7 linked regions of the Oryctolagus cuniculus genome follow. The main gene of each other region encodes a partner of the protein of the gene in region 2 in a complex. Links are inferred from orthologs where the notes say so. Each region holds a gene or a part of one and is shown on either strand. Other genes may lie near its edges. The genes, in order: SRRM2, SNRNP200, TSSC4, PRPF31, SNRPF, CWC15 and RBMX2.

The links.
Region 1: SNRNP200 (region 2) and SRRM2 share a complex: the UniProt entries of both Homo sapiens proteins name them as parts of the minor spliceosome. The link is inferred for Oryctolagus cuniculus from reciprocal best matches to the Homo sapiens genes SNRNP200 and SRRM2.
Region 3: the proteins of SNRNP200 (region 2) and TSSC4 are in contact, whole or in part, in a cryo-EM structure (PDB 7PX3), measured with the Homo sapiens proteins. The link is inferred for Oryctolagus cuniculus from reciprocal best matches to the Homo sapiens genes SNRNP200 and TSSC4. Residues at the interface, in NP_054733.2 of Homo sapiens: Arg1438, Arg1475, His1502, Lys1748, Gln1749, Val1752, Asp1753, Thr1756, Trp1757, Tyr1761, Arg1762, His1778, Leu1781, Ser1782, Asp1783, Leu1785, Ser1786, Glu1787, Val1789, Glu1790, Gln1791, Glu1807, Met1808, Asn1814, Met1817, Ile1818, Tyr1821, Tyr1822, Asp1928, Ser1931; in NP_001284587.1 of Homo sapiens: Val198, Ser199, Ser200, Phe201, Asn202, Gln203, Asp204, Pro205, Gly211, Arg212, Val213, Ile214, Phe215, Thr216, Lys217, Pro218, Arg220, Gly253, Pro254, Val255, Glu256, Leu257, Ala258, His259, Leu260, Ala261, Gly262, Gly303, Phe304, His305.
Region 4: SNRNP200 (region 2) and PRPF31 share a complex: the UniProt entries of both Homo sapiens proteins name them as parts of the U4/U6-U5 tri-snRNP complex. The link is inferred for Oryctolagus cuniculus from reciprocal best matches to the Homo sapiens genes SNRNP200 and PRPF31.
Region 5: SNRNP200 (region 2) and SNRPF share a complex: the UniProt entries of both Homo sapiens proteins name them as parts of the U4/U6-U5 tri-snRNP complex. The link is inferred for Oryctolagus cuniculus from reciprocal best matches to the Homo sapiens genes SNRNP200 and SNRPF.
Region 6: SNRNP200 (region 2) and CWC15 share a complex: the UniProt entries of both Homo sapiens proteins name them as parts of the minor spliceosome. The link is inferred for Oryctolagus cuniculus from reciprocal best matches to the Homo sapiens genes SNRNP200 and CWC15.
Region 7: SNRNP200 (region 2) and RBMX2 share a complex: the UniProt entries of both Homo sapiens proteins name them as parts of the minor spliceosome. The link is inferred for Oryctolagus cuniculus from reciprocal best matches to the Homo sapiens genes SNRNP200 and RBMX2.

Annotation. Positions count from the first base shown.
Region 1 is NC_091450.1:32,566,452-32,570,882, forward strand, and holds the start of SRRM2 (serine/arginine repetitive matrix protein 2), read right to left. Parts: upstream 3,002-4,431; 5' UTR 2,784-3,001; intron 2,528-2,783; exon of another isoform or gene 2,120-2,527; intron 1-2,119. UniProt on the Homo sapiens protein: Required for pre-mRNA splicing as component of the spliceosome. As a component of the minor spliceosome, involved in the splicing of U12-type introns in pre-mRNAs.
Region 2 is NC_091433.1:111,286,459-111,290,176, reverse strand, and holds part of SNRNP200 (U5 small nuclear ribonucleoprotein 200 kDa helicase), read right to left. Parts: coding exon 3,647-3,718; intron 3,558-3,646; coding exon 3,384-3,557; intron 3,083-3,383; coding exon 2,945-3,082; intron 2,705-2,944; coding exon 2,549-2,704; intron 2,022-2,548; coding exon 1,851-2,021; intron 739-1,850; coding exon 545-738; intron 328-544; coding exon 204-327; intron 1-203. UniProt on the Homo sapiens protein: Catalyzes the ATP-dependent unwinding of U4/U6 RNA duplices, an essential step in the assembly of a catalytically active spliceosome. Plays a role in pre-mRNA splicing as a core component of precatalytic, catalytic and postcatalytic spliceosomal complexes.
Region 3 is NC_091432.1:1,158,886-1,163,118, reverse strand, and holds TSSC4 (U5 small nuclear ribonucleoprotein TSSC4), read left to right. Parts: upstream 1-1,560; 5' UTR 1,561-1,646; coding exon 1,647-1,692; exon of another isoform or gene 1,693-2,533; coding exon 2,534-2,613; exon of another isoform or gene 2,614-2,704; coding exon 2,705-3,535; 3' UTR 3,536-3,602; downstream 3,603-4,233. Other genes in the region: CD81 antigen, read left to right, coding at 188-274, 351-413. UniProt on the Homo sapiens protein: Protein associated with the U5 snRNP, during its maturation and its post-splicing recycling and which is required for spliceosomal tri-snRNP complex assembly in the nucleus.
Region 4 is NC_091449.1:4,564,868-4,569,277, forward strand, and holds the start of PRPF31 (U4/U6 small nuclear ribonucleoprotein Prp31), read right to left. Parts: upstream 2,829-4,410; 5' UTR 2,698-2,828; exon of another isoform or gene 2,466-2,697; intron 2,208-2,465; 5' UTR 2,200-2,207; coding exon 2,023-2,199; intron 1,946-2,022; coding exon 1,885-1,945; intron 444-1,884; coding exon 360-443; intron 1-359. UniProt on the Homo sapiens protein: Involved in pre-mRNA splicing as component of the spliceosome. Required for the assembly of the U4/U5/U6 tri-snRNP complex, one of the building blocks of the spliceosome.
Region 5 is NC_091442.1:98,723,936-98,728,100, reverse strand, and holds the start of SNRPF (small nuclear ribonucleoprotein F), read right to left. Parts: upstream 2,977-4,165; 5' UTR 2,840-2,976; coding exon 2,837-2,839; intron 857-2,836; coding exon 731-856; intron 1-730. UniProt on the Homo sapiens protein: Plays a role in pre-mRNA splicing as a core component of the spliceosomal U1, U2, U4 and U5 small nuclear ribonucleoproteins (snRNPs), the building blocks of the spliceosome.
Region 6 is NC_091432.1:86,193,406-86,195,803, forward strand, and holds part of CWC15 (spliceosome-associated protein CWC15 homolog), read right to left. Parts: intron 2,111-2,398; coding exon 1,992-2,110; intron 1-1,991. UniProt on the Homo sapiens protein: Involved in pre-mRNA splicing as component of the spliceosome. Component of the PRP19-CDC5L complex that forms an integral part of the spliceosome and is required for activating pre-mRNA splicing.
Region 7 is NC_091453.1:108,064,677-108,067,879, forward strand, and holds the end of RBMX2 (RNA-binding motif protein, X-linked 2), read left to right. Parts: intron 1-379; coding exon 380-557; intron 558-1,076; coding exon 1,077-1,585; 3' UTR 1,586-2,640; downstream 2,641-3,203. UniProt on the Homo sapiens protein: Involved in pre-mRNA splicing as component of the activated spliceosome. As a component of the minor spliceosome, involved in the splicing of U12-type introns in pre-mRNAs.

The sequences.
Region 1 (4,431 bases), on a different chromosome or scaffold from region 2:
TATCTTCTTAGTTTACTTCTTCAATTTCCTTCCTGATAGTATTTACCACATGCTTTGCAGCTCCTCCAAGGCTCACTAGCTCCTGTTACATGTTATGTCTTTAACTCAATGCTCTATTTAAACACATCAGCGTCTTTTATTTCTACTGTCTCCATAATTTCTCTAGATTCCTTGTTCTGAACTTAAAAAATCTTCTCGCTCCATATCTCACTTTTATTAAAGCCCAACTGCTGGCTTTCCCTATCCAATCTCCTGTACTGAACTTCTGTTTTCTCTCGCAAGCCCTTCTCATGTGCTAACAACCCCACACCTCTCACCACATTCCATTCTCTCAACTTATCTAAACCCCAGCACGACTGAAGAACCCACAAGTCCCAGTTTTTCCAGTTAACAGTTCTTGGCTATACATACTCTGATTCTTTCTCCTGCAATACAAGGGTACTTCCAAATGTTCACAAAAAATAAAATTAAAACTTAGGGACATATTTTTGACACCTGCATCCCGTATGGGAATGCCTAGTTCCAGTCTCAGCAATTCCTGTTTCCAGTTCCAGCTCCCTGCTAATGCGCACCCTGGAGCCAGCAGGTGATGGCTCAAGCACTTGGGTCCCTGAAACCCATCCGGGAGGCTTGGATTTAGTTTCATGCCCATGGCTTTGGCCTGGCCCTGCCCCAGCTGTTGCTGTCCTTTGGGGAACAAACCAGCAAATGCAACATCTGTCTGTCAGGAAGCTCTGTCTCTCAAGTAGTTTTTTGAAAACTTTTGCGCAAAACAATTGAAATCCATGCAAGTTTTTCATCATCTATGTTTTCCATGAACTTCTGCAGACCTCTCAAACACAAAGCTTCCCCAACCCATTCTCTCCAAGATAGTGGGAAAACTAACCTCAGGAAAAACCCTAGAAAAAGGCAACATGGAGAAGTTAATCAACGCGGAGGGAAATGAGAGGCACTGCATGGAAGGCTGCATTTAGAAAACTCTGAAATAAAGAAGCAGAACACAAATGCCTACAGAAACCCAAGACGCTGTATGGGAAGGAAGCCCAGCAGCCTGCACACCGCGCAGCCACAGACCAGGTCCCTTCCCAAAGGCAGCAGTCCTACGAACCGAAAGCAAAAAAAGATGACAAAACCAGAGTCAACGGATGACACGAGGCTCAATCTATGAAAGGCAAGGAGACACGCAGAACAGAACAGTGATCTACTTCTCTGCAGCCCAAGAAAGCAACCCTCGCGTTCACCTTCCAGCACCAATTCGCCCCACTCTAAAAGCCCCTCTTTGCACCTGCACAGCCCACTGAATTTTTGCTTCCCTTGCAGAATGCTTCTGACCTGCAACTAATTCCTCAGCCTCAGAAAAGCACCCACACTTCTCTGCCACCTCACACAAAAACCCTCCCACTCCCTAAGGAGGGAAAACCAGTAGCTGCTAAGCCAAAGATACTGTCACATTGTTCGAAAGATGTAGAGAATCAACAATAAAAAAAGAAAAAGAAAGAAAGAAAGAAAACCTCCACGGCATCCAAAGCAGAGCTATAGACACTTCAGTGAGGAGGAACCATGTCAACGCAAACCACTAAAACCGATAAAATAATTATTCTTAAAATGAGGTCCACAGAGGGCTTACAAAGTTACTTTGCCAAGGAAGACTAAGAGAACTACCTGTGCTGGACAGTGATCAGAACGCCAAAACAATGAGATCAGAGAGTATCGCACAATATTCAGACATTCAGTTAAAAAATGGACCGAACTGCGGGAGGCGGCAGAGAAGCAGAAGCAGAAGCAGCTCCACGCCGGCGCACTGCAGTGCCTGGGGACACGCGAGGGAACCCAGAAAGCTCGGCAGCCGACGGAGCCCATCGTCCGAAGAGCGAAGCCGACAGAACCGACAGCTGGGATGTGCGAGCCGCAATCACAGCGAGAGCAGGCGGACACGGAGGCCGCCCAGAGTCGTGTGCCACGGGGGGGCCTGAAACGCGCAGCCGCAACTCCAAACAGTCCGGCATTTTCCTCCCAACCACGGGCTCCAAAAGCAGCCTCCGTAGTTTTAACGCAACTTCTGGGGAAATGTGGAAAAGCCACAAGGGAAAAAAACAAACCAACCCACCACGTTGTCTACCTTACTCACGTAGACTCAATTTTTTTCCTTCTCCCTTTCCTTTCCACGCTCTGCGGCTTTTTTCTCCCCTACCGACCGCAGGGCTGATACTAGCGAGTCCAAACGCTCTAAATCCGGGCCACCGAGGTCAAGGCCCTCCCCGCGCCGCCGGGGCCAGGAAGGCCTATTTTCGGCCCGGAGGGATGGGGGAGGGGGCTGCGCGGCGCCCCGCAGTCTGGAAGGCTCCACACCGGTCCACCGGGCCCCGGGCGCGACCGGAACGAGCCACAGGGGACACGGTCCGAGAGCGGGCTCCCGTCGCCGCCGCCGAAAGGGGCAGCCGCAGCCAAGAGGCCGGCTCGGCCGCCCATGTGGGGGGAGCCGAGGAGCCGAGCGGCGCGCGCTCCCCGGTCGCCGAGGACGCGCGCGAACCCGAGCGCGGGCGGCGGCGCGCGCCGTTGCTATGGGGGAGGGGCGGGGAGAGGCGCGCCGGAGCCCGCGCGCGACGGGCACCGCGCGAGGGGGAGGGGAGCCCAGCGAGCCAGGGCGTCCGCGCGAGCTGAGGGCGGCGAGCGCGCGCGCGCGTGCGCGTGCGGCGGCCGGGGCCGTTCTCCGCGCGCCGCGGCCTCGCGCCGCGGCCGCCGCCCCTCCCCCACCCGGCTCGCGCGCTCCCTCGCCCTCTCACCCGCCGCCGCCGCCGCCTCCGCCCGCCGCCTCCGAGGGGGAGAGGTCTTGCCGCTGCCCGAGCGCCCGAGTCCCTCGGGGCCTGGAGCCGCCGCCTCGCCGCGCCTCGCCGGTCCGCCCGCCTCACCCGACGCCGACGCCTCCTCGCTTCCTCAGGGGCCGCAGCGGGCTCCGACTGCGCCACTCGCACCCCGCCTGGGCCGCGCTGCACGTCAGCACGACCGACCAAGTGCGTCAGCACGCCGCCGCGCCGCAGGGCCCGCTGGGAACCGTAGTACGCTCTGCGACCTTGTGCGCAGGCGCCGGGCTCGCTTCGGGAAGTAGAGTTTCTAGAGGCGTAAGAGAGAGTCAGTTTCATTGCCGGGAGACTACGAGTCCCGTCGGCCAACGCGAGTAAGGGGTGGGAGCAGGACCGAAATGACAGTCTCCGAGGCTCACCGCCCGGGCGGGGGCGGGGCACAAGGCCTGGCGACGTCTTAGCGCCTCTCGGCCTCCCGCCTTCGGCCAGAGCTTTCTGGAAGTTGTAGTTCAGGCATGCGGCGGGACCCGTATGTAGCTTCGTCCAGGGGCGCGGTCGCCATTTTGTTTCCTCAGGTTGGGAGCCGAGCGCGGGAGCCTTGTGAGGGTTGCTGCCTCCAGGTGACCGTAGCCTCCCGGGCGAGCCCGCGGCCCCACAGCACGTAGCCTTTCGTGCTCAGACCCCAGATATCGGGTACGCCTGGCGCCCCCGAGCCCGACACAAGGTCCAGGCCGGGAAGCAAAGGCCGAACACCCACCGCGTTGGGTTCTGGCGGCCCTCACCCGCCGTGAGCAGCTGCGGCGTTTGAGGTGCCCTGAGGAAGAGTTTTCTGGAACCAGAGGGCACCAGCCAGGAAGGCGGTTGTTTGATACAGAACCCAGATGTATCATACCTCGTGGAAACGCCCTTAATCATTCACTGTGCCATTGCCGGGTCCTTTTTACAGGTCCATCTTTGCGGCCGTCGTGGCGTGGCGGGTAACCCGTGCCGGCGGCTCCACTTTCCATCAGCCCCTGCCGGTGGGCCTGGGAAAGCAGCCGCGGCGGGTGCGCCCCTGCACCCACGCTGGAGACCCAGATGAGGCTCCTGGCTCCGGCCTGGGCCGCGGGCAGTGACCCAGCAGACGGAAAGCTGGCGTTCTCTCTAACTGCCTTTCAAGTAAAAAAAAAAAAAAAAAAAAAAAAGTCCATTTTTCTGAGCCCGAGAATCGGCAAGCCCCCTCAGAGCAGAGCTGTAAGGCTGGGCTTTTCGGGCTCGGGTTTACCTCTGGCCGGGCCAAGGGACAGTGACCTTGGACTGGTCATCTCCGGAAGCCCAGCCGCTAATGGCATGAAGCGCCATTACGCATCTGCCGCCCCTCTGTGTGTGAGGAATTTTCTTGAAAAAAAGATTTGAGTTCCAGAGGAAGAGTCGGAGGTCTTCCATCCCCTAATCCCCAAGTGACCGCAATGGCCAGGCCAAAGCACGGAGCCAGGAACTCCCTCTGGGTCTCCAACGTGAGCGGCCGGGGCTGAGTGCTTGGGCCACTTTCTGTTGCTTTTCCAGGCACATCAGCAGGGAGCTGGATGGGACGCAGAGCAGTGCGACTGGAACTGGTTCTCTGGGATGATGGCAGTGCGGCCAGCAGCTC
Region 2 (3,718 bases):
ACCAGGAAGAAGATCCTGGCTCCTGGCTTCAGACTGGTCCAGCTCTGGCCATTGTGGCCATCTAGGGAGTCAATCAGCAGATTGAATATCTCTCTCTGTCTCACACCACTCTCTGTAACTGCCTTTCAAATAAATAAATCATAAAAAAAAAAAAAAAAGTTTAAAAGAACAGTGTTGAAAAATACAATTGACCACGCACAGACCTGATTTTTCCCAGCATGCTCCATAATTTTCTCATAGACTATTTCATTCATGATCTGGAAACGCTTGATAGCTTTTTTCTCTGTGATACCCACATAGGTCTGTTCCAGAGGCACTGGGCGGAAGCTGAAAGTTCAACAGTGAGACAAATGAGGCTTTTGGCAGGGACTACTGAGAATAAACACTCCTTCTCACTGCCCAGAAGCAGTATCCTCTTTTCTGGATTCACCCCTCCAAAACCCAAAGACCGTTCTAAAACCCAACCCAATAGTGAGTGCTCCTTGGAAAAGGGAAGGATGGGAGGAAAGTCACCTTAGCCACAGTTCTCCCAATCTTCTTATACCTGTTGTCAAAGTAGAAGAGGCCCTTGGCAGGGTCAACACGTAGAAAAGTGGCTACGTCTTCATAGTTGGGTAGGGTGGCACTGAGACCAATGAGTCGGACATCCTCTTGAGTCATCTCAATGTTTCGGATGGCCCTGGCCACCAACGCCTCTAACACAGGGCCTCTGTCATCGTGAAGAAGATGGATCTCATCCTAAAGAATGGGAGGGCAGCAAATTACCTCCAGGACTAAGGAAATGTGGCCCCTCCCCTGAGACTTGCAGGCATCTAACCAAACACTCAGAATAAAGATAAGAAAGGGTGGGGGCAGAACTAAGCCAGAGAAACATAAATGAAACAGCATTCCCCATGAAATGCTTTGCTACAGTTAATAGCAAGAAAATCTGGTATTTCAGTGAATGAGTTCCTAACTTTACTTAAAGGTAAATTTCTGCATAAAAAATGAAGCTTCTGATCAGATCATATTTATATGAAATAAGGCTTCACCCCTGGTCAGGTATTTTGACCAAGAAAAAAAGATATCAAGATATCACCTGCTTCTCAAATTTTAGCAAGCCAAAGCAGACAGTGATCTTGTTCAAATGTAGATTTTTTTTCCAGAAGGTGCAGGGTGGGGCCAGGGCATTTCTAACAAGCCTCTCTCCCAACCCGCTGCTATCCCCCTGTCAATCAGGATTTGAGTGGCAAGGCTCTAAAGCAGGGGCTGCCAACATTTTCTTAAAGGCCAGAAAGTCAAATTCTAGACTTGATGGCCATGCAGTTCCTATTAGAAATACTCAACTCTGCCACTGCAGCAAAAATGCAGCTGTAAACAATACATAAGCCTAGAGACATGGGTACATTCCAATAAAACAACACCCAGCAGCCACAAATCGTTGACCTCTGTCCCAGCACACTGAAAACCAGCACGTGAAGTCACTTCTGACTGTGCCAGACACCTCAAAGAAACATCAATCAGACTGAGAGGCCCTCCTGTCTGGATGATTCTGGAACAATATCCTGGACTCTTTACTTGTTCCCTTGCAAAATGGATTACTTATTCAATGTTCTGGGAGGACAGGATTAGTTTGCGGTCAGTCTATTTGCACTTGTTTCAAAATATTTTAGACATAGGAGATATAGAGAATAAGGCAAACACTAAGCACCTACTGGGAAATTTTCCTATTATGGGCAGATTCTCATTTAACACCAACAGCAAAGCTTTATCGCCTACAGAAAGGCATTGAAGGAACATTCAACACTGAAACCCAGCAAACCTTCCCCGATCACGTCTGGTCTCTGCAGCCCCAAAGTGCCCCCACTCACCAGAATGATGAGCCGCACCAGCTGAGTGTAGGTGCGCTCCCCACCCTTGCGGGTGATGATGTCCCACTTCTCAGGGGTGCAGACGATGATCTGAGTGGCACTGATCTCTTCCTTGCACAGCTGATGGTCTCCAGTGAGTTCAGCAACAGTGATCCCATAAGTGGCCAGGCGCTAGGTGGAGGAGACCTATGTCAGGCAAGAGTGCACGAAGAGGCCTAGACACCACACCTGAGCGTGGAGTACTGGGAGCAGGTGACTATCAAGTCAATCACTCCTTTTCCAAAAGCAAACCCAAGTTTCACTCAGGCAAATGAAGCACACAATAGGGGGAAATGGAGCTCTGGGAGTTCTGCACACAAAAGGAGAAAATGGAAACTTGTGGCTAATGTGACCTAGAATAAAACCACTAGGTCTACTGTCAACTAAATCCATGTGCCAATTCATAAACACTTCAATGACGCAAATGACAACAACTACAGAAAATCATCATGGAGAACATGAACGAAAAATGGCAAATAAACCCTAGTAAAAGATGGTTTAGGACATTCTTGCTTCAGAAACCTCTCTGCCTTTGAAATGTAAAACACCACAGGAGGCATTCCAGGGATGCCCTAACACAAGAAGCAGTGATGTACAGGACTATTCACAATCCTGACAGCTGCACCCAGTACTCACCAGAGGAAGCTCTACCCCCTTACCTTTCCAAAACTGCCCACCATCTCCTGCACCAAGGACCGCATGGGAGCAATGTAGATAATCTTGAAGTCATCCACATTGATAGTGCCATCCATATTTATGTGTTTGCCTATCTCTCGGAGCATACACATCAGGGCCACGTTGGTCTTCCCAGCACCCTAAGAGAGCAGTCAGGGATGAGACGGCCTACTTACTGGTAACGATCACTCCTCCAACTTCCATGGGCTTATCTCCAAAACAGAGGACACCGCATGTCCTGGGCATTTTATCCCACCATTTAACATTTGTTCCACTCAAGAATAAAGAACTGGAGGACAGGGGTGAAGATGAAGAACACTCCTGCCACCAAAACGACGGAGCACCACCTTCACAAGAAAAGCAGGCAGGGCAGCGCTTACGGTAGGAGCACACAGCAGCAGATTCTCATCTGTTTCCAAGGCGGCACGGTACAGTTTACTCTGGATCCGATTCAGCGTTTTGAAGCCCTCAAATCCAGCCTGGGCATACTTCGGCAGCTTCTCCACGGGGAGCAGTTGCTAGAAAGAAAAAATACAATTCACAACAGGCTAGCAGCATCTTTGAGTAAGCAAACTGTTTCTGTGGCATTGCCAGGATTTCGTTCCTTGGCAACCTCCCTGCATAACTCTCTCCACTAAAGGCCAGTTTAGAGAGGTCAGTATCATTCCCTGGGCTCAAAACCAGGATGGGAAAACTGCAGCAGCATCTACTTTTGATGCAAAGTAACTGTGAGAGCAGGCTACCTTCTGGGCAATGGGTGAAATCCAAACAGGAAAAGAAATAAACTGAACAGAGAACTGAGAAAAGCAATTCACTCACTTCTTCAGAGCCAAATGGCTTGGGCTTCAGGGCAGGCACATGCACCTCTTCATAGCCCTTACGTTGGCGACGGAAGGACCCGTCAGGAAGCTGACAGCGTTTGTTGGCCATGAAGTGGCTCCCTTGGGTAAAAACCAAGTCCTCCAAGTCCAGAACCTGCCGTGGAGCCAGTGCCTTGAATGCGAAAAGCAGTATCAAGAAGTCAGAGAGCTGGCAAGTAAGTTTTCCAACTGTCACAGCCTGGGAAATGGCTCGCTACCTACCTCTCCACCCTGGTCCAGATCCATGGTCTCCAGATCTGTGTCCATTCGTGACTGACGCACTCGCTCCCTCCG
Region 3 (4,233 bases), on a different chromosome or scaffold from region 2:
TGAGGTCGCCCTCCCCCGCGTGGGCAGAGGCCACCTAGCTGGGCCCTCCCCTGCGTGGGCAGAGGCCGCCTAGCTGGGCCCTCGGGTGGGAGCTGAGGTCGCCTCCCCCGCGTGGGCAGAGGCCGCCTAGCTGGGCCCTCCGGGGTGCCGCCAGGGCAGGTGGGAGCTGAGGTTGCCCTCCCCGCAGGAGGACTGCCACCAGAAGATTGACGAGCTGTTCTCGGGGAAGCTGTACCTCATCGGCATCGCGGCCATCGTGGTGGCCGTGATCATGGTGAGCGGGCAGGCGGGCGGGGGGGGGGGGGCCGCCCCGCCCCGCCGGCCCCCGCTGACCGCCCCCCTCCCGCCAGATCTTCGAGATGATTCTGAGCATGGTGCTGTGCTGCGGCATCAGGAACAGCTCCGTGTACTGAGGCCGCGCTGCCCCCGCCGCCCCCGCCGCCTGTACAGAGCCACCCCGCTCGCTCCGCACGCAGCTGCCGGCTCTCCGGGCTCTGCGTCTCCCCCGGAGCCCCTGTGGCTGACGCCGCGTGCCAGGGGCACCTGCCGAGGGGGGCCGGGCCTTCTTAATCCTGTTGCTTTCCTGCCTGTTCCGGGAGCACCTGTCCTTTCTAACGTCACCTTCAACTGTAACGCCCGCAGCTGGACACAGTCTGTAATAAAGGAGGAGACATCGGGCATGCTAACGCGCTGGCCGCCGGTCCTGGCCGGTGGGGTCTCAGTGGGTGGGGCGCTGGGGACAGAGGGGTCTGGACTGTGCCGAGCCCGCGCGGAGCGGACGGGACCAGGACCCAGGGAGCGTTCCGCGGGTGACCGCCCCTGGGGCACACCGGGCTGCGGGAGGGGGCGGCCGGGCTCCGGGCTCCCTGCGGGCAGCAGGCCCCAGGTCTGCTGAGACGTGGGTGGCCCCCCGGGCCTCAGCAGCATCTCGGAGCAGCCAGAGCAAAGGCCCCGCCTCGGCCTGGACAGCAGCCAGGGAGGACTGAGGCTGGCCCTGCGGAGGGCGGGGGCTCCTGCTGCTCCCAGCCCCTGGGGGACAGGGTTGCCTGGGAGAACTAGGTGCAGCGAGGAGTCCCCTCCACTCCCCCCGGGCCGTGCTGGCCCAGGCTGGCCTCTGGACGTGCAGGGCCTGGGGCCCCGGGGCTGCCAGGACAGGGTGGGTGTCCCAGAGGTGCCTGGGCCGTGCATGACCCGCCTGCTGTCCGCGGCTGGCCCCCCCGGGGTCCTTAGACGCCGGTCTCCCCGTGAGTGCCAGGACAGCAGGCCCCCGCAGGAGAGGGACTCAGGAGCTGGGGTCTGGCGGGCACCGAGCAGCCCCAGCAGAAACGGGGGCAAAAGGCGCTGCCCACTTGGGGCCTGGTGGCCAGCGAGAGGCCTGTCTGGGAGAGCCCGGGGCCGGACCTGCCCAGGATGGCCACGCCCAGCCCCGGCTGCCTGGGCCGCTGGGCAGCGCTCCGCGCGCCTGTCCCTGAGGGCCGGGGAACCGGAGAAACATCGTCAGAGGCTCCCGACGTCCAGCGCAGCCCACAAGCTCAGTGGCTGCCAGGCCCGCCCCGGGCATTGACGGATGGACCCGGGAAGGGGCAGCGACTTCCGCTTTCGGAAGGCCGGAAGTGCGGGCAAGGGCTTCTGCTCCACCGTGCGCGATGACGCACTTCCTGTCTACGTCGGCTGCTGTCTCCGCACCTCCCGGTAGGTGGCACTAAAACTCCGAGAGGCCTGCGCCTCGCCGTTAGTCGAGCATTCTGGGAGTGGCGGTTGGCTCCGCCCCTTCCTCCGTGTCAACGCTAGGCCTTTTCCGTTTCCGGAACCCGCTCCTGGCGCAGGGCTTGGAGGTGTAAGGAGAAGGGCGTGGGCGCATGCGCACTGGGGCACACGTCCCGTCAGGGCTCGGGAGCTGAGGCCCGGTGGCTTATGGGAGATGTAGTTCTTCGGTCGCGGAGGCCACAGTGCGCGGCTAGCGGGGGACTCGGTTTCCCAAAAGGCTGAGCGCGGCCGGCGGGGAACCCGAATGAAGGCGGCCGGCACGAGGAGCCGGTAAGTCCGGGAGGGCCCTCTGCGCGGCCGCCCTGACACGGCGAAGGTGTGCTCTGCTCCGCGGCAGAGGCGGCCGGAGGCAGCTAGAGCCGCTGCCCCTCGGCCCGGTCGCGGGATCCCGGCCTCCCCAGCCCAGGGCGCGCTCGCCGCGGTCCCTGCTGGGCCCAGCGCTCCTCCTGCGGCTGCTCCGCGGGAGGAGGTGCTGCGCCGCGCCTGGGTCGGCCCGAGGCGGGGAGCGCCGTGTGGAGGGTGCGCCCGGGCTGTCCTGCAGCCAGCCCCTCGGGAGCGCGGGTGGGGGTCGTGTCCGGGGCCGCGGGGGCGGCCTCTGCCCAGCAAGGCCGCTCGAGCTGACCCTTGAGCGCGCTCGCGAGCCCGACCCCGCCGGGGTGGCCGCGGCCCGGGCCCTGGGGCCCAGCCCTGGGCTCCGCCTCGTCCCAGGCAGCTTGCGGCCGGCCCCGCGCTCTGACGCGGGCTCTGTCCCCCGCCCCTCACCCAGCCCCGTCTGAGCAGCGGAGCCGAGGCCACCGAGGAGCCCACGCCGGGGCCACCGAGGACCTCCGTGGGCGGACGGGGGAGGTGAGAGCCGGGCCGGGGAGGGGCCCGCTGCTGCGGCCGCGTGGGCCGGCGACCCTGAGCTGCCCCCTCCCCGCGGGCTGCTTCCCCGCAGGTGCCGTGGGACGGGGCCATGGCCCAGGCGGGGGCCGAGGGGGACGCCGCGCCCCCCGACGACGCCGACTTCCCCAGCGACTCGGGCTCGGACTCGGACTCGGACCTCAGCTCTGGCGGTGCCGAGGCGGCCGCGCCGTGTGTAGACCTGCCCGCGGACTCAGAGGACTCCGAGCCCCCCTCGCCGCCCCCGGCGCCCCCCGCCCCTGCGGCCCAGCCGTTCTGCCTCCGGGGCACGAGCTCCGCCTTCTCCCGGCGCAGCCACAGCGTCTTTGACGGCCTGGAGGGGGCGGCCGGCGCCCCCAGGGGCCCGCGTGTCCCCGACTACGTGGCGCACCCGGAGCGCTGGACCAGGTACAGCCTCGAGGACGTGGCCGAGGCCAGCGAGCAGAGCAACCGGGCGGCGGCGCTGGCCTTCCTGGGCGCGCGGGGCCCGGCCGCCCCCGCCGCCTGCGCGCCCGCCTTCAACCAGGACTCCTCCAGCTGCGGGGAGGGCAGGGTGGTCTTCACCAGACCGGCCCGAGCCCGCGAGCCCAGGCCCGAGAGGAAGAGGGGCCTGGGGCAGGGCGCGCAGCCGGGCAGGGGCCTCCCGGGGACCGAGGCGGTGGAGCTGCCCCACCTGGCCGGGCCCGGGAGCCCAGAGGCCGAGGAGAGGGGCGGCACCCCCGGCGGCCTGCAGGAGGAAGACGCGTCCCCCGCGGCTGCCCACAGAGGGGCCTCGCCAGGGCCCCCCGGCCTGGACGCCGTCGGCTTCCACGGCGCCAGGAAGCGGAGCCGGGAGCACTTCCGGAACAGGGGCAGCGGCTGCGAGGGCCCAGCGGCTGAGGGGTGAGCGGGCCGGGCCGCGGCCGGGGGCCCGGGGCTCCATGGGTGACAATAAAGGTGTTGGGTGTCCTCGGGTCCTGTCTGTCGTCTCACTCCCCCTGGGCCCCCAGCCCCGCTCGGACCCTGCAGAGTGACGGCCCCAGTGTTCCGCTTCTCTGGGTTTTTGTTTGCTTTTAATTTTGAAAGATAGAGAGGTCTTGCGTGCACTGGTCCACTCCCCAGAGAGCCGCAGTGGCACAGGGGCCGTCTGCTGCTCTCCCAGCTGCAGCGGCAGGGAGTTGGGTCAGAGTGGAGCAGCCGGGACTGGAACCACACATACAGGAGGCGGCTTTACCTGCTGCGCACAGTGCCGGCCTGGAGGGGCTGAGGGGTCCCCCTGGGCTGGGGTCAGGCCACAGGAGTCCAGCATGGTGCCGGACAGGCCTGAGTGGTCCTGTAGCCGTGCCCACGCTCGCCTCTGGCTGTGCCCCACCCAGACTGTCAGGACGGGGTGCAGAGCCGGCATCTGGGGTCTTGTGCCAGGACTCCAGCCCAGCATGGGCCATGGGGGACAAAGGGTGGGTTCCCCAGGTCTGCTGGGGGAGGCCCACGGAGCGAGCATGTCTGTCCCCCACTCCCTTGACCCTTGAGGGCTCGGCCTGGTTGTGACTCAGCTCAGTGGGTGGTGTGGGTAGCCCAGGAGCCAAGGCCTGCCCCCGTGTGGAC
Region 4 (4,410 bases), on a different chromosome or scaffold from region 2:
GATGCCGGCGTCTCGGCAGAGCCTGTCCCGGCTGCCGGCTGAGCGAGGACGGCAGCTCATGCCCCTCCTTGCCTCCTGGCCTTGCTGGTGGGACGTGAAGGCGCTGGCCGGAAGTGGGGCGGTCGCCTTGTCCCACGAGCCAGCGGCAGATCCACATGACAGCAAGAGCCCGGGCACCACGGCGTGGCTCCCTGAGAGGAAAAGCTCCTCTCCCTACGTGAGCCACGCCGCTTCAGCGCTGTCCCCCCGCCCCCCGCCGTGCCCGCTCTCATGCACGGGGCCCGGGCAGGGTGTGGGAGAGGCCAGCAGGGCAGGGTGGCCCGGGGTCCCAGGCAGGGCCAGCTCGGCCTGGCACTCACTCAGCTCGTTCTCGATCTCCACGGTCAGGTTGTTGGCGTCCACGATGACACGGTACTCAGGGGCCGCCTCCACCGGTCCCATCACTGAGGAGGAGGAGCCGGGGTGCGGGGCTCAGTCCGAAGGCACCTTCCCCAGGGGCCCACGGCTGGGGAGGCGGGGACCGGGGGAGGGGCTGACGAGGGTACGGCCTGAAGCTGAGCCCAGACGCTGGCTGGCGGGGGCTGAGGGGGGTTGGTGAGGGGTCTCCCCACACCCCGGCGGTGCTGGTGCTGCCTGTCAGACACCAGGCTGTGAGACGCGGTGCATCCACATCCCCCCCTGCTGGGCATGGCCGGGCCTGACCTGGGGAAGTGTCCCTCCCTATGGCTTGGGAGAAGTGCCCGGCTGGCCCCCAAGCCCCGGGCTCCTTCTCTGCTCAGCGCAGGTACTCAGGCTCCGGAGTCTGGTTCAGGACCCCCGAGGCAGGACCGAACAGTCCCACCCTGAGCCCCTCCGACAACTGCCTGGGACCCGCCTGTCTCCTGCACCAGACCCTGAGCATCTCAAGAGCAGGGACCCGGGAAACACTAGGTGAAGGGGGAACCAGTTTCTCGGAGCCTCTGCTCTCGGCCCACTCCCCTCCCCCATGCCCAGCAACCTCCCCCCGCCCCGCTTCCTGGTGCCAGTGACCGCCACCAAGAGCCCTGGGTGACAAAGAGCAAGGGGCAGAAACAGGACAGCCCTCCCAGGAGCTGACCTGCACATTCAACATCTGACCCGGTGGGCCCCGATGTCAGAAGCGGGAAAAGGCTTTAGATAATAATTTAACAGTAAGTTATTTACTTTTATTGCTAACTCGTATCTACCAAAGCGTACAGTAGTAATGCTTCCTTCTTAGATAAAGGTAAAGGACAGGCTGGCGTTGTGGCAGTGGGTTAAAGCGCCACCTCCAACACCAGCATCCCATACGAACACAGGTTCGAGTCCCGGCTGCTCCACTTCTGACCCAGCTCCTTGCTAATGCGCCCGGGAAATCAGTGGAAGCTGGCCCCTGCCATGCCTGTGGGAGACCCAAACGGAGTCCCTGGCTCCCAGCCCTGGCCGCTGTAGTCATCTCCGGAGTGAGGCACCATGTAGAACATCTCTCTCTCTCTCTCTCTAATTCTGCTTTTCTAGTAATAATAATAATAAAAAAAAAACCCACAAGGATAAAAAATAGAAAGCATAGAAACAGAAAGTCAAGATTTCTAAGAAACTTAAAGGGACAAGTCCCCTGATGTCAGGTCCTACGGCTGGCGTCTCACGGCCGTGGCAAAGGCCGTGTGCGCGCCCCACGCGAGCTTGGACGCCCTGAGGTGTGCCCAGCGGCAAGCAGCAGGCGCTCAGCACAGGGCGAGGAGGTCAGAAACACCAGCCCTGGGATGCAGGGGGGCTTTCAGGAAGAAAGGGGGGCTAGGCCGGGCTGAAGGCAGAGCCAGCTGTCGGCGGGTCGGCGGGACGCAGGGGCCAGGGCCGCGCCGGGCGGGGAGGGGTGGGGGGCAGCACCTTCCGCCGCCTTCGCCTGCTTGCTGATGTACTCCTCGATCTTCATCATGATCTCCGCGAACTGCGGGAAGCCGGGGACAGTCAGAACCAGAGCCCCAACCCCCGCTCCCGGGGGCGCCCGCATCTCCCTCCTCTCACCATCTTGCTGTCCCATAGCTTGGCGATGCTCTTGACCGAGTCCCCCGAGAGATCCAGCTGCGCCTCCTCCTGCACATCCTCGATGGCCGGCTCCTCCTCCTCCTCCCCGTAGCTTCCTCCCTCTTCCTCTTCTGCCGCCTCTTCGAGGTCGGCCAGGAGCTCGTCCGCCAGAGACATCCCGCGACCTGCGGGGGAGGCGTTTCCCCTCGGACTGTGTCCCCCCTGGGCCCCCGCTCCTGGGAGGGGCCACGCCCCCAGCGCCCAGCCCAGCCCCGGCCCAGCCCCTTCTTCACCGAGCCCACCGCCGCAGGCTGCCCAGGACAGGCACTCCCGCCTGCTTCGCTGGCCGGGCTAGCCCCAGCCGGGACCCATGAAAGCCCCCCACCCAACTCCGGGCGAGCCTGACAACCCTGTCCTCGCCTCCAGGTCTCCGCGAGCCCTACCTTCCCACCGCCGGGACCCCCGCAGCCCACCCCCACGGGAGTAGGCCCGGACGCCTCACATGCAGGGGACCCCGTAAGGGACCACCTGGTTAAGCCTGCCTCCCCGCCGTCAACCCAAGCTCTAACGTCCGAGCTGTCCCCAGGGCCGGACCCCGGGCGGGGAGCGCCGTAGGACCTCCGCCTCTCCCCTCTCCCACTCCGCCCCCCGCCCCGTCCTGCGCACCCCACTCACCACGACCGTTTGCAGCAAGTGAGCAGCTTCCCCGAGCGGCCGGCGCGCACTGATGACGTCCCACGCCCGCGTCGCCGGCGCTGCGCTCTGATTGGCCCTCGGCCGCGCGTTCGGAACAACAACTTTATTAGCACCCGCGCGGAGGAGGAGACGGGGTGAGTCCCGGAGAGGAGAGCTGGAGCCTGCTGAGCGGAGGATCGCCGTGGCTGCACGACAGTGTCGACAGGAGAATACAGGCGGTGGCACGCAGACGAGAAACCCGGGACTCGGGAGGGTGGAGGTGGGGATGGCGGGGCGCGGGAGGTGAGGGCACGAGGCCGAAAACAGGAGCCCGCACCCCCCAGCCCCACTCCCAGAGGGCCCGGGTGGCAGCCCCGGCGCGCCGCGAAGCCTGGGCCCGAGGCTGGAGACCCGGCCGCGAGTCGGACGGCCCGGGGCGCCCGGAGCGGGACAGCGATGGAGCTGGAGCAGAGAGAGGGGTGAGCGGCGGGTCTGCACCGCGCGCGGGCGGCTGCGGGAGGCGGGGGCTGGGGCCCGGGCGCGCGGCGTCCCTGAGCGTCCGCGACCGCCCGCGACCCTGCAGGACCATGGCGGCCGTGGGCTTTGAGGAGTTCTCGGCGCCGCCGGGCTCGGAGTTGGCGCTGCCTCCGCTCTTCGGCGGCCACATTCTGGAGAGCGAGCTCGAGACGGAAGTGGAGTTCGTGTCCGGCGGCCTGGGCGGCTCGGGGCTCCGGGAGCGGGAGGAGGAAGAGGAGGCCGCCCGGGGCCGGCGGCGGCGCCAGCGGGAGCTGAACCGCAGGAAGTACCAGGCGCTGGGGCGGCGTTGCCGGGAGATAGAGCAGGTGGGTGGGTGCGTCCCCTGCGTGGGCGTGTCGACCTAGCTTCGCCCACGCACTCTGCCCCGGGAGCTCCCTGACACCCCCAGGTGGAAGCGCGGGCCCCCGCCTCCCCTACCCGAGCCCGGGCCTCGCCCCCCACCCCCAGCCCTGCTGCAGCTTCCCTGGCCCGGAGGAGGATGGAGCGGGAGCCAGGCTCGGCGCCGCGGGACAAGGTCTCTGGGTTCCTCCCCGTCTTGCCCGTCAGGGGGCGCCGCGGGAGCGGTCCTGTTCTGTGGCCTCTTAGCAGGGGCTCCGGGGGCCTCCCCCGGTTCCTGGCCCTCTCCTGCTCTGGGAAGCCGCGCCTGGATCTCGGCCTCTGGACTTTCCGGTGTTCACGAAGCACACAGCGCTGGAGTAGGCCTTACACAGGGGCCTCCTTTGAACTTGGTCTGCTCTGTAGGGGCCCGGTGCTGGGGTTGGGCCTCCAACACGCCTTTTCAAGGGGAGGGGGAAGGAACACAGTTCAGCCCTTCAAGTGGTGTTGGGGTTCGGGGAGAGGCGGGAGGTATCTGCTTAGCAAATGGGTGCTGGGCCCAGGGGGACTCTGTGAGCCTCTGCCCTTAGCCCACCCTCCCTAGGGATGAATCCTCATTGTCCCCGTTTGGAAATGCAAAAACGTGAGGCTGAGGCTAAGCAACCAAGCTCACACAGCTGATAAATGGCAGAGCCAGGATTTGAACCCAGGTCTTTCTGGCGCAGGCGCGGCACAGACTTCGGCCACTGCACTGGGCTCCCTGTTTGCTTGGTCCCGTCCCTCTCCCTCTGCGTCTGGCTGGGCACACAAGCCCTGGCTGACCGCCCTCTGTAGAGTTCATTCCCTAGTTCTCGTCCATGC
Region 5 (4,165 bases), on a different chromosome or scaffold from region 2:
GACTATATGATTCTTCCCAAAATGATTAAATTCACAAAGTAGAAAAGTGGTTACCAACAGCTAGAATCTGGGGTACGGGGGTGTTACTGCTTAATGGGTACAGAGTTCCACTTTAGGATAATGAAAAAGTTCTGAAATTGGGTACTAGTGGTAGCTGCAAAACAATGTTCTCACATACTATTACTGAGTGACATCTTTAAAAATGGTTAAAGTGGCCAAATTTTTATGTATATTTTATCACAATAAAAAAATTCACACCAAATCCCCCCCCTCACTGGCAAAATCATTTACAACTAGTTTAACCAACATAGTTCATCAATTCTTTCAGCTAATCTGTCTTCCCTCTGAAGAAATGCTTCTAGTTGATTACATTAATGTTGTGCCTTTAGCATTCATTAAGAGACAAGAATTTCACTTGAAAAATATCAGATTTAAGCGCTGGAAAAAGGTTTGCTTTTGAAAGCAACTCATGTATTTCCCTTATTATATGAATAATCAAATGCCTGAGTCCTCCTCACTTTACCCACCACGAGTAAGGTCTGTGAATCCTGGCCTAACCCCGTGTCTTGTACCTAGTCTATCAGTTGTAACATCCTCCCTGGCCTTGACTTCATTCCTGAATTTTGTTCTATCTTTGCCAACTGTATGAATTATTAGTCACACGAAACCTTGGAGGAATAAAGTGGAACAGAAGAAACACAGTGTCACCACCCTTTCACCTCTAGCTTACCTGCATGTTCATATAGCCGTCTACAGACACCAGGTAGCCCTTGTACTCCATTCCCCACTTGAGTTTCACCATCACGGGCTTCCCTGTTAATCCATTGAGGAAAGGTTTGGGATTGAGGGGTAAACTCTGCACAAAACAAACAAACAAAAAATCCATTGATTTTTTTTTTTCCTTAACTTGGCTTCCACTCCTCACTCTCCTCTACCAATCCACCAATCAATATTTTGTAACATCCAAATGAAGCAAACTCTTCACTCCCTATCACTCTACTACCTAATTTCCACTTTTGTTTGTTGAAGAGCATCTGGGAAATTTTTTTTTTTTTTTTGACAGGCAGAGTGGACAGTGAGAGAGAGACAGAGAGAGAAAGGTCTTCCTTTGCCGTTGGTTCACCCTCCAATGGCCGCCGCTGCAGCCGGCGCACCGATCTGATGGCAGGAGCCAGGATCCAGGTGCTTTTCCTGGTCTCCCATGGGGTGCAGGGCCCAAGCACTTGGGCCATCCTCCACTGCACTCCCGGGCCACAGCAGAGAGCTGGCCTGGAAGAGGGGCAACCGGGACAGAATCCGGCGCCCCAACCGGGACTAGAACCCGGTGTGCCAGCGCCGCAAGGTGGAGGATTAGCCTAGTGAGCCACGGCGCCGGCTAGCATCTGGGAAATTTAACCAGTTATCCCATTTCGTCTTCAACCCATCACAAAAAAATAAGTGTTCACGCTGCACTTAGGAGACAAGCGGCACCTGCAGTCCTCAGTGTCGCAAGCTCTAAGGAAACAAAGATGAAAGCCCTACAACAAACGTGTAACGAGGCTCTGTCCTTAAGAAGCCAGGGTGGGGGTGTGGCGCTGCAGACATACAGACAATTATATTGCAAAGCAGTAAGAGCGATGCTATGCAGAAAGGCCCAACCAACTCAGGAAAAAAGACAGGAACGGGCTGCCTGGTAGGAGCAATGCCTCCGTTTTAAAGGGTGAAGTCTATTCCAGAGGGAAAGGGGACCGCTGGAGGCCAGGGAGGCTTCCCATCTGGAATGACCGTGTGTATGTGTGCGCTTGCGCGCGTCATCCCGAGAACAAGCAGTACGGTCAGCATCCCACTCGGGGCAGGACCAAGCTCGGCAGGGCTCGGTCCTCACCCGACCGGTGCATCGCCGGCGAACCGAGTCTCTCCGCGCTCACCTCCTCACCCCGAGGAAGAACCCAGACACCGCTACTAAATCGCGGGAAAAGTAGGAGGGCTCCACCCGCAATAACCGCCTAACGGCCCCCAGCTCCCCACTTCTCGGGCGCAGCGAGCACACAGCCGCTACGACGTGTGCCAGAGCGCATCCCATCGGGCCTGATGAGAAAGCTCCGACGGCTGCCGAGGGCGCCGGGGTAGACCCTCCACACGCTGCCCAGGTCCTGGCGCTCTCGCAAGCGGTGGCCGCTTTCGGCCAACACCCACCACGAGTGTAGCTGTCCCTCCCTCATCGTTCCGGAGCCCCATTTCCTGTCACCCGGGCTCGGGTGAAAGCCCCCCTCCGGGGGCAGCCGCGGAAGGCGCCCCAGCGCCCCGGGGCCGCAGCCTCCCGCCCGCTCCCGTCTAGGCCGGTGCCCATTTCGGTGAACAGCGCCTGACGGACGTCTGTCTCTCACACCCCGCCCAGCTCGGCCGGTGCAGGGTCCGCATGGGCACTTCTCAGTCTCTAGTCCTGGAGCCCAAGACTCAACCTGGCCAAGTCGCCGGCGCTCAATAAGCGTCAGAACGAATACACGAACGCTCCGGGGCCTGGGCCAAGGCGGGCTGGAGAAACATCACCGACGGAATAAAAGCGGCTTCATGAGTGCGACGAAGTGGGAAACGCAAACCGCTTCAGCGTTTGCTACATCCACCCCGACTACCTCTTTCTTCCCTGGACTCAGAAAGAAGAGGCAGCAGGAGGCGAGGGTCGTCCCAGCCAGGAAGGGACTCGCGCGCGTCCGCGGAACCCGCAGACTGGCGCCCCGGTGCGCTGCGCCTCGCGGATGAATGGGAAAGGCGCGAAGCCGCCACCAGGCTCAGCCAGCCCGAAGTTGCCTTCCCGCCCTCTCCGTCTCGCGACTCCAGCAGTCCTCCCTCTCCTTACCATCACGACTTCGGGCTAACGTTGCGGATTAGACGCCGCCGACGCAGATACAGCCCGTCCCGCGTGCTCGGAGCAGCTTCCCCCAAGGCCCAGACCTCCGAAGTTGCAAGAGAAATGGCCGCCAAACCTCAGCTTGACCTTTCACCTCCCACCACCGCTCTTTCGCCTTCTATGATTGGTCAAAAAGAGGCGTGTGCTGATTGGAGGAGATGGCGCAGCCGTGTCTCCCAGCAACCAGAGACGCGTTCGGCGTTACTAGTCTTCTCCCCTGCCTTGAAGAACCGGCTGTGAGAGGCCGCGTACCCTGTGGCGCACACGTGATTTCTCGGCAGCTTGGCTAATGGGGGGTCGCTTTGTTAGTTTACAACGGTGAGAACGCGTTCGGGGCTCTCAGGTCCCCGGGTACCGCGATTTGGGGGCGCCTCTGCCACAGCCCCCTTCGACCTGAAGGTTGTCTATTCGGTAGCACCCGTTTCAGCGTTCTAAGAGGAAATGAGAGGAGCGGGCCTGGAGGCGGGGAGGTGAAACGGAGGGGCCGCGGCAGAATTCTTTGCAGACTAGGAGCCAGGACCTCCCCCGGGGCGTTGCCCGCGGGCCCCCGGCCCCGCCGGCCTGGGGAGCACCTGCGGCAGCACGGGCTGATCGGTGCCCGCGACGCAGCCGCCAGCCCCTCTCCGCGCGACCGACGCTGGACTAGCCCGGATGGGAGGTGCTGAATGCAGATCTCGGAGAACTGGCGCTTGGAGGAGGACCGCCTGCTGCTGGACACCCCCCAGAAGATGCGTTTGGACTTGAGCTTTCAGGAGATGCTCGCTGTGACTTACGTGTTGTCGGTTTAAATGATGAGCAGCAAGTCAGGGTGATCATCAGTGTGGTGTAGACCGAATAGCTGTTAGAATTATTTACCCCAAAGTGCACTGGGTTTTTTCTGGTTAGTCATCGTGTCGTGGATCTTCAGCTTTTAAGAAAAAAAATTCTTAATTTTCTTTATGAGAGAGCGAGAGCGAGACAGAGAGCGTACACGCTCTTGGACCTACTGGCTCAACTCCCCAAACACCCGCAACAAGCCAGGCTGAAGCCGGGGGCTGGGAACTCCCAAGTGAGTGGAAGGGACCCAAACTACTTGAGCCATCACCTGCTGCCTCCCAGGGTGCATTAGCAGGAAGCTGGGTCAGAAACCCAGCGGGGACTCCAAGCCAGACACTCCCATCTGGGATGTGGGCGTCTTAGGCGCTATGCCAGATGTTACACCCCTGCATCTTTAACTTTGCTATAATCTTTAGTTCCTAACTTTATGTCCGGCTCTTTCCCAATTATTATAGAAATCAC
Region 6 (2,398 bases), on a different chromosome or scaffold from region 2:
CCGGCGCACCACGCTGATCCGATGGCAGGAGCCAGGTGCTTCTCCTGGTCTCCCATGGGGTGCAGGGCCCAAGCACTTGGGCCATCCTCCACTGCACTCCCTGGCCACAGCAGAGAGCTGGCCTGGAAAAGGGGCAACCGGGACAGAATCCGGTGCCCCGACCGGGACTAGAAGGTGGAGGATTAGCCTACTGAGCCGCGGCGCCGGCCTTCTTGAGGTGATCTTACGCAGTGTCAGAACTCCTATAAGCAGACAACTCTGAAATTTATTACCCCAGCTTGGACTGGAATCATATTAAGTTACCTCCTTAACATTTCCTCAGAGATGCACGTATCCTGCCAAACTTACTGTGTCCTAAGTTTGCCACCTCCCCTAACCCCAACCTTAGTCTACATTCTTCACTATCTCTATCCTTTCACAATTGTTTGGGTCAAATAGCTCAGACTCCAGTCTCTGATAAAAATGTCACCTTGTCAGCAAATCCTTCCTTGACTATGCTGCTGCCTCTGCATGGAGGGAGATTTTTACAGCTTTAGAGACCACTGTAAGGACTCAAGTTTTTACTGCAAATGAGTCAAGAAGCCATGGGAGGTTTAGTAGAGGAGACTGTTGCTGTAAACTTCAGTTTAAAAGGATCACGCTTCTGTGTCAAGAAAAATCTGGGAGTGAAGAGGGTGGCGAGTGTGCAGGAGAACAATTAGGGGCACTGCATCACTATGGAAGACGCAGCAATGGAGATGGTGAGAAATAATGGATATAGTTTAAAAGTTAAGCCTCCAGGCCGGCGCCGTGGCTCACTAGGCTAATCCTCCACCTGCCACGCTGGCACACCGGGTTCTAGTCCCGGTCGGGGTGCCGGATTCTGTCCCGGTTGCCCCTCTTCCAGGCCAGCTCTCTGCTATGGCCCGGGAGTGCAGCGGAGGATGGCCCAAGTGTTTGGGCCCTGCACCCACCTGGGAGACCAGGAAAAGCACCTGGCTCCTGCCATCGGATCAGCATGATGCGCTGGCCGCAGTGCGCCGGCTGCGGCGGCCATTGGAGGGTGAACCAATGGCAAAAGGAAGACCTTTCTCTTTGTCTCTCTCTCTCACTGTCCACTCTGCCTGTCAAAAAAAAAAAAAAAAAAAAAAAAAAAGTTAAGCCTCCAAGAGCCTTGATCACTAAGCTTCCTTCACTCAGCACTTCCTATAAAACTTTATTTTTCTGCATATCATCTAAAATACCATAGATAGTACTTTTTGTTTATAGTCTCTTCTCCTTTAACTCTCTACCTCAGCCCTCCAAACACACTGTACACTAAAGAGTTATGATAGCAGGCTGAGAACTGCTCTCCTTAGAAAGGGCTGGCATTTGGAAACCCAGGTTTTAGGAATCTTCTCACCATCACTGTACCTACAATGTATAAATAATGTAGTTTATACTGACCATTTACTTTCCTTTGTGGAGTCTGGATTTTTTTATTAGGTGCAAGGCAGAAGTTGCCCCACATGACAAACTCCAACAAAAATCTTAGAGACTGAATCTCAGCTAGGCTTCCCTGTGCAAAAGCACTGATGTGCTGCTGCATTTCTGTTGTTGAGGGAACAACGTGCTCTGTATGACTTCTCACGGGAGGGACAGAGTCTCAGGAAACAAGCAGATTCCTCCCATTTCTGCCTGTGTCTTTTCCCCTTATGATTCTGTTGTGTATCTTTACTGTATTAGCCACAAATACAACTACAGGTCAAGTCCTCTGAGTGTCTTTGGGAGACCCTTGACACAAAAATGTAAAATGTAAGCTCTGTGGAGTCAAGGGTTTACCTCATTACTCTACCCCTAGTGCCTGGATCATTGTTTGGTACACAGCTGGTTATTCATTCTCCTCTTTCCACGGCTCCAAAATCTGACAGAAGAGCATCAGTGGAAGATGGGGTTTTTAGAAGCTTTATACAATGTAATTTGTTATCCAACTCAAAATCAGTATACCCATCCAATCCATTACTGAATAGTACCTTCTTTTAACTTTGAAGTTGGCCTGAGGCTGGGATGGGCCAGTGAGATTAAGCAGAGGATTTCCACTCAGAATGTTTTCCATTCGGATCCTCTCTTCTTCAGCTTTTTGTTCTTGTTCCTGTTAAGGACAGAGTAAGATTCAAATTATATTAACTCTAGATCAATTTTCTTATATTATCTGATTGAAAACAAAACAAAACCCGTTTGTATTTTTTCAGAACATCACCAAAACAGGTTTTTGCTTTTTTTTTTTTTTTTTTTTTTTTTTTAAGAAATAAGAGAAAAGTCTCATTTATAAAAAATAATTCGTGGCCAGCGCCACGGCTCAACAGGCTAATCCTCCGCCTAACGGCGCCAGCACACTGGGTTCTAGTCCCGATTGGGGCGCCAGATTCTGTCCTGGCTG
Region 7 (3,203 bases), on a different chromosome or scaffold from region 2:
CCAGGACAGCTAATGATACGGTATTACAGAGTGGGGCAGTTGGTTGCTGTCCCTCTGAATTCTCATGGTCCTCTGTGATGCTTGTGCTCCTGGGCAGTGCTTCTCGGCCTTTGTTCACATGAAAGTATTTGTATCTCGCCCTGGGGTACGCCGATGAGAACGCTAGTACAACTGTCCCGGGCCCAGCTGGCTGCCGCTGCCCTAAAGGCTGAATGGGTTACCATCTAGGCACACCTGCAGTGATTCAGACTGGTTGAGTGGGTCTGCTGTGGCGGTTTGCGCCGTAATAGAATTAGAGAGAGGGTAATAGATGGCGTTCAAACAGCTGGACAGTTTGAAATGAAGCCTGCCTTTTTGAGACGCTGCCTGTTTTTCTTAGATCAAAGGAAGAACTATCCGGGTAGATCATGTGGCTAATTATCGGGTTCCTAAAGTCTCAGAAGACATGGACGATGTGACCAGAGAGCTCCAGGCGATGGGCTGTGGTGTTAATACCCCCTCACCGAGTTCATCTGAGGATTCTGAAGAAGAGAAACCCATAAAAAAGCACAAAAAAGGTAAAACATTCAAACCCAAGAGAAACTTGGCAGTCTTAGCATCTGTTCCTCCTAGAGTTCATTGATGGTTGATAATCGGGTCATAAGTATGCGAAGGAGAGGTGGGGGGACCTTATTTTAATTGGGGAAGGGGAGGTGTCAGCAGAAGACTCCTGTTCTGGGTTGAATTGTGTTCCCCAGAATCGACACGTTGAACTCCTCACCCCTAGTCCACTGTGACTGCATCTGGACATGTGGTTTTCAGAGAGAGACTGGAGTGGGAATGGCCGTGCCCAGCAACTTGACGTTGCGGGTGACAGACATCGAAGTTGCTTCCCCGCAGCACTTTCCCAGAAGCACAGGGTGACGGCTTCACGCTGCTGCCCAGCCTATTTTCCTTGCCCATGGGCTCCCCTCCCGGCAGGCAGGCATTGGTAAACTGGTCTACCTTTGCTGGATGTCACGTACACGGAGAGGAAAGACATGGCTTTAGGGAGTTCTATTTCCCTTTTGTTACCGATTGTCGCCCTTCTTCTCCAGACAAAATGGAAAAAAAGAAAAGACGGAAAGAGAAAGAGAAAGAGAAGAGTGACCGGACAGTACTGGTCGAGCAACCATCTCCCTCTTCCTTGCCCAGAAGCAAGACAATAAAGGAAAAGGATGAGCCTGGCCCTAAGACAAGCAGCACCAAGGGCTCCGAGAAGGTGCCGAAGTCGGAGTCCAGGGAAGCACGGAAGCACTACCCTGTCTCCCCTGAGGTCAGAACTGTCCCCCGCGGTGGAGTTGAGGACCTGGCCAGGGAGCTGAAGAAGGAGAAATCCAAGCATGAGCACAGGTCCTCCGACAGGAGAGAGGCCAGAGAAGAAAGGAACAGGGATAGGGACAAAGGACGAAGCTCAGACGCGTGTTCTAGCTGGCACAATGGGCATTCGGATGGGTGGAGCCATCGGAGTAGAAGTCGGAGCCGAGATCGATCTCACAGACAGAAGAAGTCCCGTAGCTCCCGGGAGCGGGAGTCCTCAAATCTCAGTGAGCGTAGGCGTCACTGAAGCCAGTTCAGCCGCTCGGTAGATCTGGAAATGAAATGTGTTTCTAAAATGCAGTCAGATTCAGCTACGCCATTACTTCTCCATATGAAATCTCTAGAGCTGATTTTTAAAAAATCCCTTGAGTAGTGGAGTCCTTGAGAAGGCTGTGGTTTCATTGGCAGATACCCTGCATTTTCTAGTACAATCCATCATCCCTGGAAATATACTTGGAACTTAACAGAGAACGTGTCCTGAATTTTCGTTCATAAATTGGCCATGGGGCCCATAGCCCCCCCAGCTTGAGATGAAATTGCCAGAAAAGGAAAATTACAGACAATTCTAGAGGCCTAGTCTTTGTCTTCAATGTTGAGAACCCAGCATTCTAAGACTTCCAGTTAGCAGGTAGAACTGCAGTGAAGTGTGGTTTAACTAGGTTCAGACAGCTGGAGGTGAATGTGATGGGATTCTTTTTTTTTTAAGTATTAATTTTATTTATTTGAAAGGCAGTGTTACAGAGGAAGGGAGGGAGAGACACAGAGATCTTCCATCTGCTGGTTTACTCCCCAAATGGCCACAACAGCCAGGGCTGGGCCAGGCTGAAGCCAGGAGCCAGGGACTCCATCCAGGTCTCCCACATGGGTTTGGGGACCCAAGTACTCAGGCTATCTTTCACTGCTTTGCTGGGCGCATTTAGCAGAGAACTGGATCGGAAGTGAAGCAGCTGCAGCTCAAAACTGTTGCTCATCTGAGATGCCAGCATCACAGGAGCCAGCTTACCACTGCACTACAACGCCAGTGCCTGATGGGATTCTTAAGAACAACCAGCTCCCTCTCTAAACCCTGTTTGAAAACAGCTTTAAATGTCTTGTCTTTTTCTTTTTTTGGTTGAGATATTTTTCCACATACTTTTTTCCCTTGGAATTCTTTGTATTGATGTGAAATGCAGATAACATAAAGTTAACCAATTCAAAGCAATTCAGTGGCACTTATATTCACCATGTTGTGCAAACACCACCTGTGTCTAGTTTTGAAGCATTCACATTGTCCCCAAATAAAACCTAATACCTATTAAGCAATAACGTGCCATTACCCCTATCCTCCCTGTCCCTGGAAGCCACCCATCTGCTTTCTGTGTCTATGGATTTGCCTGTTTGGGATGCTCCACAGAGCAGGAATCACACAGCAGTGGCGTTTTGTGTCTGGCTTCCTTCACTAAGCATAATGTTTTCTAGGTTCATCCATGTTATAGCATGTATCAGTACTGCACTCTGTTTTAAGGCTCAATAATATCCTGTTGAGAGACCACGCTTTGTTTCTCCATTCCTTGGGACGGACGTTAGGATTGTTTCTACCTTTGGTTAGTCAGCTTCCTGTTTTGTGTGCAGACACGCCAGGCGACCTTCTGTGCTTGGTTTGCTTTTCACGTAGCCGCTCTTGCTCAGGTGGGAACACTGGTAGCTCCATCGCACACCTTTGGTCTGATTGGTAGTTCCTTCTCATTTTGAATCTTAGTTTCTATTATAGCACTCAGCCCCTTATGAATTTGGCAGGAACTGGTTCACAGGCCCTGCTGCAGTCTTTTTTTTTTTTTTTAGTTAAAAAAATTTTTAAACCTTTATTTAGCAAATATAAATTTCCA